Linked DNA regions of Ovis aries. The protein of the gene in region 3 purifies or fractionates together with the protein of the main gene of each other region. This does not show direct contact. Links are inferred from orthologs where the notes say so. Each region holds a gene or a part of one and is shown on either strand. Other genes may lie near its edges.

Region 1 (3,648 bases), on a different chromosome or scaffold from region 3:
ATTTTCCTTCTCTCTGAAGTTCATCCTTCTGAATTTAACATGGTCTAATAATGGCAAACTCTAAGATTTGTCTAAAGATGTCATTATTTTGCCTTCATCCTTAAAGGATATGTTTGCCGGGTATAGAATTTTAGGTTGGCCTCTATTATTGTCCAGCACACTGAAGATATTTTTCTTCTGGCCTCTGTTATTCCTAGTTGTTGTCAGTTGTCAGATATAAAACTCTCTCTTTTCTCTGGACTATGTTTAAGTTTTCTGTTGTTTTTTGTCTTTTTTCCCTGTCATTTCAGTATTAGGTGAACATTTTATTTGAAATTTTACCATATTGGGGGATTGTTGGGCATCTTGACTCTGAAGGTTGGCCTATCATCAAATCTCGAAAATTTTTATTTATTATGTCTTCGAATGTTGTCCTTGCTCATTCTCCTCTGTCCCTCTGCTTTTGGAGGTCAGATTAAACATGGCTAGACCTTTTTACTCCATTCCCTGCCTTCCGCCCTCTTTTTGTTTTGTTTTCTTTGTGATGAATCCGCCATTGAATCCTTCCATTGAATGTTTTATTCAATCTATTTCAGCTTTTTTTTCCCCTCTAGAATTTTCTTTTTTTCAAACCTGCTATGTCCATCCCTCCATATAGAGTTATCTTTAAATAACATAGTGAGCATTTCTGTTTTATCATCTCTCTTATTACTCTGATATTTGAAATTTGCAGTCTTTTTCTAGATTATTTCCTGTTGTCTGTTTCTACTGCTTCATCTTCATAGATTCTAGTTCCTTTGTATACCTGAGTATCTTCGGCTGGGTGCTGATCATTTTATTAAAAATTATTTGTGGGAAAACTTTAATGATTTAAAATCTTAGAATGTTAGATTCTAAAACTTAGATAAAGGTAGTGTCTTCCATAGAAGTTTTGCATTTGTTTCTGCCAGTTGCCTAAAAACACTAATTTGTAATTACTGTAAATCAAATTCAAATTTTGAGATTTCCTAGATAAGCAAGGATATTTAAATTTGGCTTCTCATTCTGGTTGGCCTTCATCCTGAGGGTTAGAACTTCGAAGAGGCTTTCCTGCCAGAAACCACACTCTCTGTGGGCCTGGGATGTAGACTTCTATCTTCTTCATGCCTTCAAAGCCATTAAGAGAAAGCTTGCGTTTTTCCCACATTGCTAATACCCTCAGACCAAAGTGGCTTCCATGCATGGTGACCTCTCCAGCCTCCATTTCCCTTCGGTTTTACCAGTGTCTCTTTGGCTGTTTCTCCTTTAAGAAAACTATTTTATTTTAAGATATGGCTGGGGAACAGAATAGACAAACTGAGATAATTTGAGTCATCTGATGACTGGATGGGTGGGGTCAGTTTCCCTTTTAAGCCACAGAGAAGTGGGAATCTGCTCAGAGATTCTGAGTGAAGTGAAACGGTCGGGGTGACTGACAGATTAACTGTGTCATCAAGGGTTGAGTGAAGTGTGACGAAGATCTTGAGTCCCTTGTCATCAGAGAAGGTGCCTCCACGTACTGTCTGACCTCACGGCATTTGCATTCGCCTGGGCGTGGGTATTGAAAACTTACGCTTCAGCTTTCTTGTGTGTCTCCTTTGATTTTTTCAGAAGGGTTTTTGTTTGTATTTGGGGGCCAAGATGAAAACAAGCAGACCCTGAGCTCAGGAGAAAAGTATGACCCAGATGCGAACATGTGGACCGCGTTGCCGCCGATGAACGAGGTAGATAGAGCATTGCTTCTTTCTGTTTGACGTTTTGTTTCACCCCCGGTAGCACTTCGGTTTGCTTCTGCCTTTGAGTGTAATGACCGAGACCCCTGCCTGGCGTGCCTGTGCCCTCCACCCCACCTCCTGGAAACACACTTGCTTCAGTCCTTTGCCAGGTACCCGCGTGGCACGCTGCCCGCCTCCTTCTCAGCAAGGCCTCCCCGCTGTCCCTCAGCTCCCCTTTCGCCTCCCTTGCTTTCTTTCTCTTCATACCGCATCACCCCTCCTCACACACTGGGCCTTTTAAGTTGTTCGCACAGACTTCTGGATGGCAGGGGCCTCTGAGTGGTCAGTGTTGTGAGTGGGTGAGTGTCGCCCTTCGGGCAGCCTTCGTGCAGGCCCATACGCACCACCCCACCACCACCACGGGCGGGCCTGTTGCTGGGGCTCTTACACAATTTCACACGTCAGCTGGGAGCCGCTACTACCCATGCTGAACAAAAATCAGTTTATGGAATCGGGCGGTAATCGTTCTTTCTCGTCATGAGCTGACTTCAGCGAAAGGTGAGGATTTTACCCTGGAGTCCACCTCGCGTGAAATTCCCTTGTTCCGGGAAATTCCTGGACTTGGGTTCTCTGTCTCTTGTGATAGGAGAGTGAGCTTCTGGGGAAAGCAGAACTGTTTGAGAGACACAGTTCTGAGTCTTGTATTTCTTTGCAGGAATGTAATGAAAACCTGTCATTTGTATTAAATGTATGATTATCAGCTTTCAATATGATAGTCGGCCTTTTGTCTACAAAGCTCTTTAATGTTTTTTCAGGCAAGACATAATTTTGGAATTGTGGAGATAGATGGCATGCTGTACGTTTTAGGAGGAGAAGATGGTGAAAAAGAGCTAATTTCCATGGAATGTTATGATATTTATTCTAAAACCTGGACAAAGCAACCTGATTTGACCATGGTTAGAAAGGTGAGAACTATACCTCGTGATGACTAATTCACACGCTGAATTTTAAAGTTAGTTTCTTCATTGCTCACAGATGCATTTTAATGCAATTGATAGTGTTAAAGCATTAACATTAAAGAAGTCTGTCTTTGCTGGTAGCTTCTTGCCTTCACTATTGCCAGTCACATACCAAGCTGGGGAGCTGTGTGAGAGAGTTCGCAGGGGGCGGTGGGCTCTGGGCAGCGCTGTTGCGTCTGTGGCCCATACCTGATGAATGCTCCATGATGGCGCTAACCTAGGCAGGAACCCGATCTCCCAAACCTGTTTTCTGAATCGTCGTGCACGCTTGGGAGGAAACTTTAATCCATTGATCCAGAGGTAAAGAACTGCCATTGGTTTCTGAGAAGAATGAAGACTAAGGGCTCCCATTAGCTGTTCAGGGCTTGATCTGTATTTCTGTTCCCTGGTGGAGACAGGCATTTCATCATCAGGCCAGCGCCTTTCTAGCGCCCTGGGTATTTCACACCTTGGTACTGGGACTCACTGGTAATATGATCGCTCCCTGTGTGTGTGCCCTTCCAGCTGACTTAATTTGGGGCAAGAGTTGAGTGACATCATTCTCTGTGGACTCTGCGTCCTGGACTCTTCAAATAGTGGTGAAAGAAGAGAGCTTGGAAAGCTCCTTTAAAAGCAAGGCCTGTGTGCTTATCTCACTTAGAGGAGTAGTGTTAGGTGGCGCTAATCCTTCCCTGAGGACAGTATGTGTGCTACCCATGCTCTTCCCATTTTTGAAAGCCTCCGTCAGGCCCTTTTCCAAACATCTCCCAGGGTTCCAGCCAAGCTGGTGTTGACTCAGCCAACTTTTAATGATAAGCGTTGCCTCCCCCACTGCTTCCTCCTTCCAGATTGGCTGCTATGCAGCTATGAAGAAGAAAATCTATGCCATGGGTGGAGGATCCTATGGGAAACTCTTCGAGTCTGTGGAATGCTATGAC
Region 2 (3,503 bases), on a different chromosome or scaffold from region 3:
CCTTGAGCAAGACGCAGTAGTAAGGGTTCCTGATGTGTGACCCTGGACTTTTCCCTCTCCTGGCACTCGCCCTCCCCCAACACGTACTCTCCCTCTGGCTCTGGCTGGCCTGCCCTCGGTGCAGCTCCTCCCCTTCCGGGCCTCATGTTATCATCACCCCCACCCAGCGTGTTATGTACATATCTGAACACCCATGAGTCCCTTGACAGTTTAACTCTAGGAGCCCCCGTGTTCTCACCCCCAGGTCTAGACTCCCGACCTTCACAATGGTCACTGACCTGGAGACCTTTCCAGCCTGTCCGAGCCCCCATCTCTCTGCTTTCAGACCTGCCCTAATTCACTGCCCATCTCCCTCCACAGGACGTTCACCATGGCAACGGCACCCAGCAGACCTTCTACCAGGACCCCACTGTGCTGTACATCTCCCTTCATCGCCATGACGACGGCAACTTCTTCCCTGGCAGTGGGGCTGTGGATGAGGTAACCCCATCTTCCGGCCCGCTCACTCTCACGAGTAGCCCTAACTGTCTCTGTCACAGCTAGCTGTGTGATCCTGGGTAGGCTGCTGAGCCTCTCGGATCCTCCGTTTCTACATTCGGAAGTGAAGGGGCTGCATGAGCTACTCTTGTAGCACTGACATCCAGGGGTTCTGCTCCCGGGACACTACTCTCTACACATCTCCTGCCTCCTGTGTTCCAGGTGGGAGCTGGCAGCGGTGAGGGCTTCAATGTCAACGTGGCCTGGGCTGGAGGTCTTGACCCTCCCATGGGGGATCCTGAGTACCTGGCTGCCTTCAGGTAAGCTCACTAGGGGCGCAGAGGAGGCCTGGCCCAGCAGGGCCCCCCTCTCTTCCCCTTTTACAGCAGCACCAGTTTGGAGGTGATCGGGTGGCTTGTCAGCTCGTCCTCATCTAATCACTATAAGCCAGCCACTATCATTATAAGCCAGCCCTGGAGTGGGCCTGTGGACTGAGACACAGGGAAAGGCATGGTTACGCTAGACTCTAGGGGCATCCAGTCCCTGTGGGGAGACAGGAAAACAGACTGAAAAGGTCAAGGCGTACTTTATAATGTCACACGCTACCAAGAGCCAGTGTTGAGCTGAGTGCAGGGAGACAGTCTGGGGGAGTGAGCAGCAGAGCTGCTATGTTAAGGCGAAGAAAGCTGCCTGGAGGAGGCAGACTTTGCATAGGAGCTGAGAAGCCTAAACTGTGGAGGAGGAGGGAAAACAAGCAGGTGATATCCATATTGGGGTCGTTGCTTAAGCAAAGCCATTCTGTAAGGGGGACTTGGCTCAGGAGCTGTTGTGTATTTCTCTCTGGGGGTTCCTAGACTCCATTTGGAGAAAGGGAAGCCTGGTAATAGGTCTCTGTATACTTTTCTGGAGTATTCTTAATGAGAGTTAATTTTGTAGGAGCCCTGGGCTGGGATTCCTGGCATCTGTACACCCAGGGTCTTGAAGGACAGCAAAGTGGACCTAGGGTTGGGTGAGGAATGAGCGGTGGAGGGAGGTAGCTGTGAGGAGCCGGCAGGTGCAAAGGATGAGCATGGATTTGGTGGCCCAGGACCTCAGAGGATCTGTTGCCCTGGTCAGCTCTTAGGTGGTGAGTGGTGACGTGTGGCCGACTCAGTCCTAAGCAGGTGGCAGCTGAGCGCCAAGTGTTTCCGGTGTTGCCCTGAGGCTTTAGTAACCTGCCCCTTCCCTGTGGCCCTGCCCACCACTCCCCACTGAACACAGTGCACCGGCTCCTCTTTCATCCCCTCATCCTTGGCTCCTTCCTGCCTCTTGCCAGTTAAGAGCCCTGGGTGGCTGAGTCCTTAGGCTGTACCAGGGACATGGATGGTGGGCCAAGGTCGAGAAGCCAGAGGCATCCGCTCATCCTGCTGGGAGTCCTGAAAGTAGGGTGCTCCCCCGTAGAGTTAGTGGGAGAGGACTGGCCCCAGGCAGGGCCCTCCACCTCTGCTGCCGGGCGGCCCTGCACAGCCTGTGAGCCCCCCTTCCCCGCACACAGGATAGTTGTGATGCCCATCGCCCGGGAGTTCTCTCCGGACCTGGTCCTGGTGTCGGCTGGGTTTGATGCTGCCGAGGGTCACCCGCCCCCACTGGGTGGCTACCATGTTTCTGCCAAGTGTAAGGAGGGCCCCGGCTAGGGGGGCGGCAAGGGCATGAAGGCTGGGCCGGGGTGGGTGGGCAGCGCTGCCCAAGTCAACAGGGAGGTGACAGTGGCTGGCCCAGGGCCATGAGCATGGGACGGGGATCATGCACAGGCCAGGTCAGTTCATCGAGCAAGGCCTAAGTCACACCTGGGGACTCAAGTCCTGCAGACTGGAGGCTCGGTCAGAGGACTTCTCCCACCCTGACTGTGTCCTTCCCAGGCTGGGCGGGGGTGGATGGGGAGGAGCAGAGTTCTCAGAACAGAGGGAGCCCACTCAGCAGTGCTGAGCCTGGAGGACAGGGAGGAATATGGTGTGTCTCAGCGGAAAAGACATGGGCTGGAGTCCCTACCCCGGGTTCGAGTCCTCGCCCTGTCACTTACTAGCCACCCTTAACCTCACTGAACATTCAGTGAGGCACACTAGTAAGATTTACAGGGGGTTCCATGTGAAAGCCATTGGTAAAGTAGAGATTTGTCCCCCGAGTCACTCTTTCTCAGGGAGGAGCCGAGCAGGGAAATAACAGAGGTAGAGAGGGCTTCCCCCCCCTGCCCCGGCCCCTCCTAACCCTCTCACCCACCATGCAGGCTTTGGGTACATGACACAGCAGCTCATGAGCTTGGCTGGAGGTGCGGTAGTGCTGGCCCTGGAGGGGGGCCATGACCTCACAGCCATCTGTGATGCCTCCGAGGCCTGCGTGGCTGCTCTTCTGGGCAACAAGGTGAGGTGCCCACCTTTGATCCATGCAGCTGTGGGGCAGGCAGTCCAGTTTTCCCAGGAGCACCCCAAGGGGCAGGCAGTTGGGGCGCCTCCCTGGGGGCTTGCAGATGGGCAGGGTGGGGGTGGCCAGGCCTGGACTGAGGGGAACAGAGTGGATGCCTCTTCTCTGGGTCAGACGTCAGGTCAGCGTCCCCTGCCCCAGGCAGAGCCAGGAGCATATGCCTATCTGAGCCTGGAAAGCGAGGGCCCCGGGGTGGGAGAGAGCTGGGCCTGTGGGTCCCTGCGAGGCAGGCAACTGATGCATGCTTTCTTCTGTAGGTGGATCCCCTCTCAGAAGAAGGCTGGAAGCAGAAACCCAACCTCAATGCCATCCGCTCCCTGGAAGCTGTGATCCGAGTGCACAGTGAGTGTGGAGAGAGGACACTGCTGACCCCAGACTTGGGGAAAACTCTGGGGTCTGTTGCCCCCAGGGACCAGAGCCCCAGGTCTTCCAACCCCAGCCAGCCCAGGGGAGCTGCTGCTGCATCGGAGTAGGCATTCTGTAAAGTACCCCATAGTAATGGGGGGCAGGTGCCCCCACAGGTGAATACCCTCAGAGGCTTCCAGATGGACCTAGCAGGGACTGGCAGA
Region 3 (3,254 bases):
CAACAGAGAAGTCTCCATCTCTGAAGCTTCTGCCAGGAATCAGAAGTGGGGCCGTGGTCAGAGGGAAGGGCAGGGAAACTTCTGAGAGGCAGGCTCATTCAGCTGGGGGGAAGAGGAAGGCAGCGCTCAGCTGGGACTGCTGCCCCATAAAACGAAACGACATGCATCACAGCCGCCTCCATCGCCTTGGTCCTGTCTTTTCTCCCCAGTTGCTAGCGTTTCCCCCCCTCCTGGTACCCAGCTGGGCAGGGTACCCAGGTGGCGGGCATCCCTGCCTCTGACAGAGGGCGGGGCTGAGTTAGGCAGGAAAGTGGAACAGCCAGTGAGCTGGGTCCCCACCCTCTGTGCGCCCCACTGACACATGATGGCAGACAGGGGGGGCAGGTGACCTGGTGTGGACAGCCAGAGGGCAAGTCCTCAGACAAGTGGCAACAGGCCACCAACTTGAAAGGGAAAATTGTGCTGTGATGGGGAAGGTATCCAAAAAACCTACTGGGTGACTAATTACAAAGGCTAGGCCAGAGCGTCAGAGGCCGCTCGTTAAACACCTCATTAAGTGGCACTCTGAAAGCTGCCACTTTTGCATTCTGGGAGCTCAGAGGGGACAGGATCCTGAGGAGGAGTGAGGGGTGGTGGGTAGAACCATTTCAGGTAGACTCTGGAAGAAGCCTGCATGTCACTTTTAAATAGTCTGGAGCTCACAAGTCAAAAGACTTGATGGGAGCAAAGCCAAATTTAGTAGCTGTGTGACTGTGAGCAACTCTCATCTTTCTCTGAGCCTTAAAGCGGTCCCGCCTCTACAGTGGGAGTAGTGTCACAGACTTGCCCATTTCACACAGACAGAGCAGGTTAGATTAAGTTAGATCATGGGTATGAAGGCGCTTGGGAAGCTAGCTACCGCCCTACCTAAACAAAGAGTTATCCCTCCTGAACCAATATGGGAAACACACCTGGCAGGACTGGGAACCGCATCCTCCTGCACCTGGCTTTATGGGCTCTGCCTAGGCCCATAGCGGCCAGGTAGCTGAAGCCATCCTCAACCCGTGTAAGAACACGGTGAAGGAGGATCTGATTTCAGCAACTGGGACAGCTACCTACGGTAGGCATGTAATAGAAGCCCTGAACCAGAGCGGGCAGCCTGGGGCCTGGAAAGGTGTCGGTGCAGGTGAGGCCAACGCCCAAATCTCTCCCGCTGACAGTCCGGATGACTCACCCCCGGCCCCCGCCTCCCTACCCGCCATCCAAGCCCTTTTACCTTTAAGGAAGAGCGGAAAGGGTGTGGGGGCGAAGAGGAGAGGGAGGCAGGTCCGGGGCCCTAGCCCCGCCCTCTGCCCCTCCCACCCTTCTCTGGGCCTGGCCTTCCAGCCAAAAGGCGGGCAGAGAGCAGGAGAGGCACAGAACCCGGCCTTGGTTCCGAGGCAGCCAGTTAGCCCGCCGCCCGCCTGTCTGCCTGTCCCCAGAGCCATGGAGAGAGCCAGTCTGATCCAGAAGGCCAAGTTAGCCGAGCAGGCCGAACGCTATGAAGACATGGCAGCTTTCATGAAGAGCGCTGTGGAAAAGGGCGAGGAGCTATCCTGCGAAGAGCGCAACCTGCTTTCAGTGGCCTACAAGAACGTGGTGGGTGGCCAGCGGGCGGCGTGGAGGGTCCTGTCCAGTATCGAGCAAAAGAGCAATGAAGAAAGCTCGGAAGAGAAGGGCCCGGAGGTGCAAGAGTACCGAGAGAAGGTGGAGACGGAGCTCCGGGGCGTGTGCGACACAGTGCTGGGCTTGCTGGACACCCACCTCATCAAGGAGGCCGGTGACGCCGAAAGTCGGGTCTTCTACCTGAAAATGAAGGGCGACTACTACCGCTACCTGGCCGAAGTGGCCACTGGCGACGACAAGAAGCGCATCATCGACTCAGCCCGGTCGGCCTACCAGGAGGCCATGGACATCAGCAAGAAGGAGATGCCGCCCACCAACCCCATCCGCCTGGGCCTGGCCCTGAACTTTTCCGTCTTCCACTATGAGATCGCCAACAGCCCCGAGGAGGCCATCTCTCTGGCCAAGACCACCTTCGACGAGGCCATGGCCGACCTGCACACCCTCAGCGAGGACTCCTACAAAGACAGCACCCTCATCATGCAGCTGTTGCGAGACAACCTGACGCTGTGGACGGCCGACAACGCTGGGGAAGAAGGGGGCGAGGCTCCCGAGGAGCCCCAGAGCTGAGCCGCACCCGCTGCACGCCCTGCCCTACCCTGCCCGCTCCAGTCCCCCACTCCCGGCAGAGAGGACTTGTATGGGGTGGGAGGTCCGACCCTTCTCCCCAAACGCTCTGGCCCAGCTCAGAAAGGCTCCATAGAGAGGAACAAGCAGAGCCGAGTCCCCCTGGAGCCAGAGGATTCCATACTTCCTGCAGCTGTCAGGGGCTCCTGGCCACTGGTCATCATCCAGCCCTGCTCTGTCTCCACCCCCGCCCCCCGTCCCAGACACCCCCCCCCCCACCCTGACCACTTCCTCCCCACTCCAACCCCCTCCCGCCCCTGCTACCTATGGATCTTAGGAATTGAGGAGTGTCCCATCCTTAGAGCTGAAAACCGAACTGTGTGGCAGAGGTTGGTGATGAAGGTGTGTGTGTGCGCCTGTGTGTGTGTGTGTGTGTTGTGCAGCAACCAGGACCCAGGATGAGAGGGAGAGCATGTCTGCTGGGTGTGACCATGTTTCCTCTCAATAAAGTTGCCCTGTGACACTCCGCCTGTCTTTTTCAGTTATTGCGGAAGGGCGGGACAGGGATTGGTGTGTGAGTTACAGAGACCCTGACCTCCTTGGGGCTGGCTCAGTGACTCGCAGGCAAGACTCTGGAGCCAGGAGAGAGGCTGGGGATCCAGCCCTCTCCATCAGGGTCTGGTCTAGTCCCCTCAAACTGGTCCTATCCCGGGAGGGTCGGGTGAGCAGCGCCAAGGCGGCTTGGAGACTCCTCTGCCAGGAACGTGGGGTGGGAGGCTGAAGCGCTCAGGTGTGAGGGGACAGTCTCCGGGGTGAGGTCGGAGGGGTACGCCGCAGTGAGCGGCACTGAGCACCTCAGACCTGAAAGCGGGGAACAGTCCCATCAGATCTGAGCGGAGGGAAGTATCACCAGGGGGCGGGTATGACGCCGCCATTAAAAGCTCAGGTCTGAGGAGAAGACCGCCTTCCAATGTTCGGAGATGGGGACAAAATAAAACAGGCCGTTGACGAAGAAGTGCAACTTGAGTGCGAAGAGCCGCCAAGAG

The links.
Region 1: the proteins of SFN (region 3) and GAN purify together in Homo sapiens (affinity purification with mass spectrometry; 3 studies listed by BioGRID and IntAct, with this or other methods). This does not show direct contact. The link is inferred for Ovis aries from reciprocal best matches to the Homo sapiens genes SFN and GAN.
Region 2: the proteins of SFN (region 3) and HDAC7 purify together in Homo sapiens (affinity purification with mass spectrometry; 3 studies listed by BioGRID and IntAct, with this or other methods). This does not show direct contact. The link is inferred for Ovis aries from reciprocal best matches to the Homo sapiens genes SFN and HDAC7.

What each region holds. Positions count from the first base shown.
Region 1 is NC_056067.1:7,472,716-7,476,363, forward strand, and holds part of GAN (gigaxonin), read left to right. Parts: intron 1-1,608; coding exon 1,609-1,721; intron 1,722-2,527; coding exon 2,528-2,677; intron 2,678-3,558; coding exon 3,559-3,648. UniProt on the Homo sapiens protein: Probable cytoskeletal component that directly or indirectly plays an important role in neurofilament architecture.
Region 2 is NC_056056.1:138,794,278-138,797,780, forward strand, and holds part of HDAC7 (histone deacetylase 7), read left to right. Parts: exon of another isoform or gene 1-102; intron 103-360; coding exon 361-480; intron 481-699; coding exon 700-797; intron 798-2,011; coding exon 2,012-2,130; intron 2,131-2,740; coding exon 2,741-2,874; intron 2,875-3,191; coding exon 3,192-3,276; intron 3,277-3,503. UniProt on the Homo sapiens protein: Responsible for the deacetylation of lysine residues on the N-terminal part of the core histones (H2A, H2B, H3 and H4).
Region 3 is NC_056055.1:240,067,302-240,070,555, reverse strand, and holds SFN (14-3-3 protein sigma), read left to right. Parts: upstream 1-1,406; 5' UTR 1,407-1,464; coding exon 1,465-2,211; 3' UTR 2,212-2,731; downstream 2,732-3,254. UniProt on the Homo sapiens protein: Adapter protein implicated in the regulation of a large spectrum of both general and specialized signaling pathways. Binds to a large number of partners, usually by recognition of a phosphoserine or phosphothreonine motif.